3 linked regions of the Drosophila melanogaster genome follow. The protein of the gene in region 1 interacts with the protein of each later gene in a pairwise test. Each region holds a gene or a part of one and is shown on either strand. Other genes may lie near its edges. The genes, in order: CG14634, CG34353 and Sox15.

Region 1 (3,252 bases):
CTTACCAGAAAAAAAAGGGGCGGGGGGGGGGGGGGTAAGGCTGGTGGGTGGTAAGTGGGTAGCAGGCCGGACAAAAAAGGAGATTGAAGCGCCGAGTGAGAATTGCAGATTGGCATAGAAACCGAAAAGCCCCGCAAAGTATGCTCTGCAAATTGAAAATGAAAATGGAACACCGTGAGTGGGCAGGGGTGGCTATCTGTCTATGTGGATATCTGGCCGGTATCCACCCACCACCCACTTTTGCACGCGTCTATTTTGTGGTTATGCGCTTGGCTTGTCACGAACCATGAAACCAGAGCCAACTACATGCGAAACATGCAAAAAATTTGGCAACAAAAAAAAAGCGGGTCCAAAGGAGATTATGGAACTAGCAGATACCCTATTCATAACCAATAGCTTGTGTAGCAAAGATTTAACCGGGTCCTGCTTTCTTCGCTATAACAAATTTATAGCGAAGTTTTAAGCTGGGCAAACTCTTTCCGAGCTTCCGGAAAAGATCACGTTTTTTCGTTCATCTCAAGTCGGAACAAGTCCCATCTCCATAAGCACCCCAAACACACACACACACATGCGCAGATAAACGAACACTGCAAATGGGAACTTCGAAATATACAGTTCTGAAACCGCAATGATGGGGTTGACCATGTGAGAAGGACGAGCCCCAATGCACAGTCCTAGAAATCCAGGGCCATGGGAACGAAACTCCCACCAGAACAGACACATCACTTTTAGAATTACACGAGTAACAATGCCAGTCAGTTCACCCCAACCCCCCCCCCCCCTTCCGTACGTTTTTCTGGTTTATTTTCCCCTTTTAGCCTTACTCTGCGTTTTTCCGTTATGGGCCTGCAAATGACATTGATATTTTTCCAGTTTGCCATATTCGCGAATTCGGGGAAATGCGGAAAAGTGAGTAGAGTAAACATTTAGATTGAAAAGGCTGTACTCTTGATATTAGAGATTCGCAACTTTTTTCACGGGATTTTGTGTACATTAAATTTATTTGGCTTAAGTCAAGAGAAACATGTGTATCGCTTCACTTAGAATGAAGTGAATTAAACAGGAAATCCGCTGTGACTTGTGTGACATCATGGCAACTGCTTTCCCTTTCGGCACTTTCACCAATTTCACCAATTACCCCGCATCCTGTGGGTTGTTATCGCCGTACAAATACTTTGCCCACGTAAATCATTCATAAAAGTATAAATGTAAAGCAAAGTAAAGGGGATGGGGTTGTTCTTTTCGGCTTTTGTATTCAGTTTCAACTTTCGTATAATTACAAAACTCATTAGTGCAGAAACTTTTTGGTCGTCGACCCTTGGAAAGTATGCACTGCTAATTGAAATTGAAGTTGTTAGAGACGGAGGACGCTGGTCGCAGCATTTTTGCCAAGTCGGATAAGCAAACAGACCCCAGCAGACCATAGAAAACTCACCCTCTCATCTGAGGAGCTGGCCATATAGAAGGTTCTCTGGACTTCTGGAGACCGTAGAACATGCTGTTGGTCTTTTAGCCCAAGCGCAGTGCCTTGAGGATCAGCGAATTTTTTTTCTAAATGCAGACCGTGGAGTGTCCCATTGCGGGGTCTCCGCTTGCCACCTCCCTTCGCAGAAGTTCAGCATCCGTTCAAATGAACACCTTCAGCCGAAGCAGGTGCTGGATGGCTTATGGCATTGCGCTGGCATTGGCATCGAAGATCTCCTCGCTACACGTCCATCTCGTCTTTCACAGCCACCATCATCGGCTTTGATGTGAGTGTCGCATGGCTCACTCTTTAAATTCAATACGAAACTGGTGTGAAACCCGCGCTCTGCGCCTGATTTGCATTCGCAAATTGGTAATACAATAGGTAGTCGTCGGCTGCCGTTTTTCCCTCCCCTCCAACCGCCGAAACCCGATAGTCCTGATAGCGTGCACTATATACTGATTGGAGTGCGGGGCATTTGTGAAATTAACATAAGTGACACCATTTTGCATAATGGGAGTCTCCGAAAACAATTGTTGGGGGGCACCAGTCTAGTCCGATTCCGGGGAACACAACTGTACCCACAACAAACCCGCCGGCTATAAAAGCAGACAGCTCTGGGTTGCACTGCCTCAGTGGGAAGCTCTCCTTTCAGCTAAAAGCTGCGGGCGGCACAACATAAATAAAAGGGCCCTAACAGGTGGGAACTAAACCATCAGGTGATGGGTAACTTGACTTTGGCCTGGAAATTCTTTTATTGACTGCTGACGAAATCAGCCTGGCACATTCCCCCATCTTCGGCACTTCTACTTATTATTTCTAGCCACAGAAATATGTGCTTTCTCTTCCCACTTGGCTGCTGCGGCTGCTCCTCATCGAAGCCTTGCCAAAAGAATGGAAAGCAGCGGCAAGTGCAGCACCAGCCGGACGTCCTGGGGAACGTGATATCCACGGAGCCAGGCTACTTCAACCAGGTGACCATCAGCCAGCCATCGCTACCCAGCATGAGCCCCAGTTCAGTGTCACTGCCCCACCGAATAGTCACGTCTAGCACCTTGAGCTCCTGGGACGGCGAAGTCTGGTGGCCCAAAAGGGACTCCATCGAGGATTACTAATCCATAGTATCTTAGCAGAATTGATTAGCGTATCGCTGCACTACATAAATGTACGACTTACAAAGATGTTTGTCAAAAACTCTTATATTTAATGAAACTACCGACTCTGTTTTTAGTTCTCACAAAGAGTGTACCTATTATTTCTTTTCTCTGGCCACAAAAACCAAAAGCACAAGAAGACAATTCTTTTTCGCCTCCGCGAGTCGCACGTAGCCCCTGTTGGAGTATGCATTTTTAAAATGAAATTACTCCACGTTTTGCGGGAGACAGAGGTAAAGGATTCTTGTGGTTAAGACTGTGTAATAAAAATTTGATTAGCTGCTTGTTTAACTTTAATTAAGTTGATTTCGCACACACACTGAACATAGGAAAGTTAATCAAATATTTAGCAGGACCTCTTTGCCGTTTTCCCGTACGAGTGCCGCAGGGTTAAATTCTGTTTGGGCTGGGCGTATATTAACATTTTGGCTAAGCAAACTGGCGCAAGCAAACAAACAAATGCCAGAATATTCATGATGATCATTAACACACAGGACGCACAGGACACACAGCAGAAGAGAGCTAGCTTCCAGGATATGCAGTCCAGGAGCAGCCTGTGACGCCTGCGAACAAATTTGCACAGCCTTCGGGCGGGAGTTTAAGGACCCGAATACGTCTGCAGGCTCCACATTA
Region 2 (3,759 bases), on another chromosome or scaffold:
ATGTAGTATTCAACTATTTGCAGCTATTTATGAATTTGTCCTTTTGGACAATTGTATTAGGCAAAGTTAATCCCATTTAAATAGGATTGACAATGATGAGTTTTAATGCATTTTTTTTTCAATTGAATTTCAAAGCAGATTTAAAAAACAATGTGCCCTACCACCGCAAAATGATCAGCAAGCATTCATAATTTATACGGATATCAATCGATTAAGCTCGACTGGCATATTATGCGAGTAAACGAACTGTGATTGTCACATCGAGAGATTTGGTTTTCCTTTTGGATTTATGCCATTTCAATCAGATCCGCTCGGTGTTTTTGCAACTGGCGCATAATTGTTTTCTATATAAACTGCATTTTTACAATGTTTCAAACCTTTTGCAATTTGCAATTGGCCATGGCCAAAGCCTATGGCAAAACGGCGATTTATGGGTGGAAAAAATGATAAACTGGCAAACAAAACGAAATAAAATAGAATTCTCGCAGCCAATTGAAGTGCGAAAACACATCATACATATTTTTAATTAATTGTTAAAAAATACAAACAATAAAGCAGCGACAAGGAATACAAGCAAACAAAAAAAAAGGCAATCGTATAGCTTTATTTTATATTAATTATGCAGCTGAATGATTGCAGCACAGGCATTTAAAATGCAGCCAGAGCGGCGAAACAAAAACAATGACTCCAATTAAATTGTGCAATTGCCTTATTTTTCTTAATGCCACTCGTCAATGCAGCGCTCTATGTATGCGGATGTGCATATGAATAATTGTATTAAGGATGACTCCACTTTCAACAGGTGAAGGGGACTTACCTCGCACCAAAATTTCCGGATTATTGTTTCCTGTCGGATTTTTGGCTCTTTTAGCCTGACTAAGCACTTTGACCCGATTGTTTATTTGCCTTTCCTCGCTTTATTAATGGCTGTGTTTTGGCTTGGCACACACACCGTCTATGGCGTTTGCTTATGTTTGGGGATCACTGGAGCACGGGATATGTCACTTTAGTATGCCCAGCGATGCTGCACCGCCTGGGAGTCCTAATTTAAAATGCCGCACAATTTTCCGAGTGCAAATATTTAAATATTTAATTTGCCGGCGCTGATTGTTTACGTTTGGTGCCGTTGTTGCGGCTGCTGGTATTTTTCACTCTTAATTTAATTAAAAATCTTCGTCTTGCTGTCGCTTTCGGTTGCGTTGTGGTTAATCACAATTTATGGCAATGTGTATGCGCCAGTTTGATGGTGCTAGAATCTTGCCCAGCGGTGTAGGCCCAACGGTATTTCGCGAGAGAGCGGAAAATTTTTGGCGAAGCGAGAGAGCGCGCGTAGGTGCCAAAAAACGGTAAAGGGACGACGCGAGAGGAGCAGTTTTTATAACCGAAATCCCGAACCGCGATTTGGTTTGCCGGTTTAAAAAGCCCGAAAACTTACGGAAGGTTTGGTTTGGTTTCAGAATGATAGTTGTTTACTTTCACTTTACTAACACTTCTGTTTCAAAGTATTTTAGAGTTGATTTCTCTCTAGCGGTTTCCTCAGTGACTTCAATTCAATTCACTATTAATTATAAAGTACCGCGAGTTCGATTTTCGACTTAAACTTGTGCAGATTCAATTTAAACACCTTTTTTTCGGTGGCAGTGGGACGAGAGCACACAACCGTTTGCTATCGCGTTTCGAATAGGACTGAAGACCGTACGATTCGTTCGTCGTAGGTCGCACGAGTACGGACGAATGGCACGTCGGCAACCACTCGTTGATTCAACAGTTAGCCGAGCGAGCACGACAGGATGGGAAGGGGGGAGTTTACGAACGACCCGCACAATGTAATTGGTATTAGAGCCTCTTCTGGCGCGTGTGGTTGTTGCTGTTGCTCTTTTTGTTTGCTGCCGTTCGACAGCCGCAATCGCAATGAATGTGTGCCACAAGCGAAGAGAAAATTTCTCGCCGCAGAACTAAAGAGAGAATATAGTGGGCGGCTTATGGAACCCATTCGCGGCGAGATAGTAGGAATAGTAGTACTTATGTTCCAGTTTTAAGCATTTGTAAGATATTTTATTTCAGTTTTTAACAAAATGAACTACTTATGTTTAAAATAATAATGCAGGTGTATGCATTTATTTTATAAGTTTTTTTTTCATGCATAGCAATTTTAATATTTATGATATCCTTTAATGTCTTTAACTGTGTTCATTTTAGTTAACCTAATTTTAAATGAGATACCGCTTTCAAATCGCATCTAAGGATACGAAAGCTTAAAGCTTTCTGCAGCTTTACTTTAAGTGGGAAATGTTCTCTTGATAAAAAAGGGATATTTTCTCTTAGCTCGAACTGTTTGGTTAACTATATTTTTATAACTCTAATATTTTAAAGTTTTCTTTAAAGAAAATATAAGAATATTTTTATAATATAAACAAAACCAATTGGCATAAACGAACAATGTTTATCTTTTCATTACTTTGAGCAGCAACCTAGTGTACAAATATGTAGTGTTACATCTGGTAACATCTTCCAAAACCCTCAAAACTTCACCACGCCATGATGTTTATTTTGGACTTCTTGTTTCCCCCAAATATTTGAAAATTCCAAAATTAAGTAAGAAACTCTGCTAATTGACAGCTTTGTGGTGCGTCCTTCTGTCCATCGGAGTTCTGTGTTATTTATAGTTGTTTGCTTTTTTTCTGCTGCTCGTCTCGTTCCATTGGCCATTCTGCCCATTTTGGCCATTTTGGCCATGGACATGAACTTCGACTCGGTTTTGGGCCACATCTTCACGCTTCAAGGCCGACACACACTTGAAATGCGCCCCCAATTCATTTTCTTTTCTTACTTAGGCTCCTCGAGCCAGTTTATTGTTATTTTGGCCATTTCTGTTTTTGTTTTCTGGCAAACTTCTTGTACTGCCATCTGCGAAATGAAGCTTACCGCCCACTAGCCGGCTTCAGAGTGCCAATGGTTACCAGCTCCTTGTTTATCCAGGAGTCGCAGGACTCGCCAGGACTCGCCAGGACTGGCCAGTGTCCAGGCCCAGTTTCCCAGCATCGCCGACAGCCCCAAACTATTTGCCATGCCCCGCTCCCATAATGAATATTTATGAAGATTTAAAAAACATTTTCTTCGCGTCTGTTGTTTTATGATTTGCAAGTGTGCCTTTCGTCCTTTTTTCCTTCTTCCGCCGGAGTGCCGTCAGCTCAATGGCGTGCAAAGTCCTCTGTTTTTCGCCCCAATGACGAGTGCGCCGGAATGCCATCGAGATGTACATTGGACATGTCCCGGGACACGGGACACGGGACATGGACCAGTGGAAAAAGCAAACCACATCCCATGCAACCCACGGGCAAAATCATTCTAAATACGCATCGTGCCATCGCTGCTTTGTCGTTTGTTGTCTCAATCGCTGCAGAGAGCAAAATTGTCAGATATGCACTATAATTTGATTTAGCAAAATAAGAATAAAAACGTATTTTTTAAGTGGAATGTATAAATTGGGAAAAGAGAAACTACGCAAAAATACGATTGTATAGTTTGTGCCATCAAACATAAGATTGCTTTGCTATTGTAAAGAGGTCCTTAGTCCTTAAACAAGGTACTAGAGATATATTTTATTTTATTTATTTTCATAGCTTTTGACAGGTCATCGGTGCAAGATTTTAAAATATCAACCCCTTTTTTTTGGACAGTGCTCATCGGTTTGCTGCTGCTCCTTCTGCTGCTGTTGTTTTCATTTTGTAAATGATTTCATTATGTGCTACAAACGCC
Region 3 (3,759 bases), on another chromosome or scaffold:
AGACATTCTTAATTGTGATTTTCGGTTTCGAATTTCTTACGAAAAGTGTGTGCGGACTTATCAGAGCTTTTCATCTGTACTTAATTTAATTTCATGGCTTCATTTCCATTCATAATTCCAGCCAATTTGTAGACGGGAATTTCCCGTCGGAAACTACGAAAGTCAGTCAGCTGAAATGGCTAGCTAATACGTATAAAGGGGAAATACTTATATACAGTCATATACTTATATATGGATATTAAAACCTCATGCGTATCTATCAAGCTGTGTAGATCGGATACAAATCTTTATAATGGCCTGACCTCTGGCCGAAATATACCAAATGTTAAGACTTCTTCTCGGTGCGTCGCCTGTGCGTTCTTGGCCTCTGCTTTTTCCCAGGGTCTCCACCCCCGCCGACTTCTCCGGCGTCTTGGTTTACTTTCCACTTGACCAATTTCGAGTCGCGTCCGAAGACGGTTCTTAAGTTATTCGCAGTCGACCATTTACATATTTACGTTTACGTTTACGTTTGCCGAGGGAAACGGAGAGAATCGAGAAGCGGATACGAATACAAGTGCAAGTGCTGCGGGGTCTGAAAACTGGGGCCACACCAAGGAAAATCTAAGCAAATTCCCAGATACTATATACTGTATAACCCCCATATATATATATTTATACATATATAACCGTGCTTTATAGTTGTAGCTTACTGCCACAGTGTGCATTCGACATCCCCGACGGTGTTTCTCGCTGTCGTGCCCGCCGCTAGTATCTTTGTATCTTAGTATCTTAGTATCTGTGATTGTGACTAAGTCTTGAAAAGTCGCAGTCATGGGCCCCCATATATATAAGTATATACATATTTATTGTATATATATATATATGTACGATCTAGAGAATTTCTTCACCACTACACGAGCGCCTTTTCCATTTTTCATTATGGTTATTATCTTGAAGATATGTATCTTCGCTTCGGTTGGATATAATTAAACAGCGAGAAAAAAATTTTAGCATGGGAAAAATGTAAATATTACTTGTAATTTGTTAGCAGATGATGTGGATGTTCGTGATCATATGAGGGTTCCATTTTTATACGGCAACGGCGATGTTCGTGGTAACGGTGACGGTGACGTTGATGTTGTTGCAGTTGCAGTTGTTGCTTCTGTTGTTGTAGTTGTTGCTGTTGTTTTTGCTGTTGCTGACGTCGGTGGTGGCAGGTTGAAATTGGTGTTGTTGTTGTTGTTGTTGGCTTTGCTTTAGCAGGGCCAGCAGCATTTTGCTTAATGTTGCATTATTCCGTTAGTTTTTCCCTTTGTCGGCGGTTCGGGTGGATTGGTGGGTGGTGGCGGTTGGTGGTTCGCTGGTGGTGATGGTGGTGCCACTACTACTGCTACTGATGTCTGCCGGGCCGAGCATTTTTGCCCAGTTACAGTTCCAACCATAAATTTATGTGCCACGGCATGTGTGAATTTGCGTCCATTTGTTGTCAGATTTTGTTTTGTTTGTGGCTCAGAGCCTAACCCACATTTTGGCCACAATTTCGCAATCACCGAGTGATGTAAATATATTTTTGAATCTCACTATTCACTGGTGATTATTTTGAAGATATTGAAAAATACACACTTCAAATTTGGATTTTCGATTGGCACTTGGTGTTGAAAAGATACTTTTCAACACCGGAACGATGTAAACTTTTTATTAAACAGATTGTGTCACTTTTTACATAGTTTTACCGGTATTGATCTACGTTCTTTAAAATCACTTGTTCATTAGTTTTTGGCCCTAAAGCGAGCTGTTTAAAGGTTGACTAACGAACGTATCCGTAGCCTAAAATCAAGGGCTTCGACATTTCACAAGATACAAACAGCGGATAGCGCTCTTGGGAAAATGAAAATTCACGGCACAACAGCAACTACTAAGCAAGTAACTAACTAACTAACTAACAAACTAACTAACTGGGCCTATGTACAGCGGGCCAGTTTGTATGTAGATATATATATATTTATGATTACAGCCCGGGGACGCAGATGGCGATGTCAATGGAGAGCCACCAGAGTCACTACCGAGTTCCGCCGATGCCAGGGCTTGAGTCAGAGTTAAAGGCGAACTGAAAGTCGGAGCCGCATGAACCACGCTGATGACGAACCGCAGGCCAACTGAACTCGACGACCGATCGACGCTCTCGCGAACTGGGGGAACTGTGAGCTGGCGGCTGGCAGCTGGGGAGCTGGGAGATTGTGAACCGAACTGAGGTGTCTCTGCCTTCAGAGCCCGTGCATAAGGCCAAAAAGCGAAAAGCCATAAGCTGAACCTTTCGCGCAGTCTTGAATCGAAACAGCCAGAGAGTGGCGGCAGCGGCAGCAGCAGCAGCTGTTCATCGATGCGGAACGAGCAAGTGGCTCTGGTCCGAGCCCAGGTGACTTGGCCCTGTCTCCCAGACTATGCCGTACCATAGACAAGTATACTTTACCCATAGCCTCCGAACCGAGAGCAGCGGCGAGTTCTTTTGAATCTAATGAAACACAGAGCTTGTTTAATATTCATTCGTTCGTTCGTTCGGTTCGTTTCGTTTTGTTTCGGACTCTCGCGATCTCTCGGTCTCACTTTCAGAAATGTAAAACCTGTTCCCCGAGATCCGTTTGTTGTGGGAGAGACAACTTTGCATTTGGTTTGTTTCAATTGGTGGAGGCCCCCAATGTCGTTGGGGTCCATATATACACAACCGTACGTCTGTATGTGCACATGCATATACTAGCGGATGGGGGGATAGCACCCATACACGGAAGCCAGCGTATGCAAATATCGTAATGTTCGGAACCTCTGGGAAAAGGGTGTTATTTGGATCAAATGGGGCACCGTCTTTCAGAAAGAGAGAGATTTTGCGAAAGATTCGCAAATGTTTAAATTGGCAATCTCTAAGCAAATGGAAAGCAACGAAAGTCATTAATCAAAAGGTGACTAAATGGGAATGAAAGGGATTTTCAGGCAGTTTGTAAAGAGTTTAAACTTACAAAACAATTTGTTAGTAGTAAGTCATACTATCTTGTTCACTATCAAATAGATTTTAACAGAATGTAAATCAAAAAGTAGCTCATAGATACAATATTCATAAATCTACACAAAAACTAATACATTCTCTGATCAGCAACTCAATAGTAACTATACCAACTCTCTTAACATTAAAACAAAGTTCTTATATATTTAATAAAATATATATCATGGAATAGATCACAGTTGAAAATGCTTATCTTAATACCATCTTACTGTCCATTAAGTATCCGCCCAGTGAGCCCAATGCCTTGAAAGCGGCTGTAATATTCAAATAGAGCCATATTTAATTTTTATTTCACTCTCCACCCACCAAAGTTTTTGGGGCCAAGCTGATTGGTATCCAACTGGAGATAAGCAGCCAAATTGCATATTGCAACAACTGCTGCCAGCGAACCGCACAGCCAAGCCCAAAAAATAAAAAAAATCAAAGGCACAAAAAAATCGAGATGAAGATGAGGAGGTAGAAAAGCGACGAACCTCCCAGAAGACGAGTCAAGTACGTTGGCAGGTAAAAGTGCATGCGGCCACGCGCAGGGCATTTAATAATAATAAACTCGTACTCGGATGGGGCTACCTCCATCCCCAAGCCCAGCCGGAGTTCATAATTAAGCGCCAGAATGCCGGGAAAGCCTTCGCTTCCTCTTGCCATAGATGCAAAATATTTGTTTATCACATCGCGATAATTGCCGCCGGCGATGCGAGGCCCAAGTCTTCGCGGATTCGTGG

What was found.
Region 2: the proteins of CG14634 (region 1) and CG34353 interact in a two-hybrid assay, tested with the Drosophila melanogaster proteins (one large-scale study listed by BioGRID).
Region 3: the proteins of CG14634 (region 1) and Sox15 interact in a two-hybrid assay, tested with the Drosophila melanogaster proteins (one large-scale study listed by BioGRID).

The regions. Positions count from the first base shown.
Region 1 is NC_004354.4:860,494-863,745, forward strand, and holds CG14634 (uncharacterized protein), read left to right. Parts: upstream 1-2,114; 5' UTR 2,115-2,165; intron 2,166-2,242; 5' UTR 2,243-2,298; coding exon 2,299-2,580; 3' UTR 2,581-2,707; downstream 2,708-3,252.
Region 2 is NT_033777.3:27,904,154-27,907,912, forward strand, and holds the start of CG34353 (uncharacterized protein), read right to left. Parts: upstream 1,691-3,759; 5' UTR 818-1,690; intron 1-817.
Region 3 is NT_033778.4:14,210,272-14,214,030, forward strand, and holds the start of Sox15 (Sox box protein 15), read right to left. Parts: upstream 2,143-3,759; 5' UTR 1,070-2,142; coding exon 1,017-1,069; intron 1-1,016.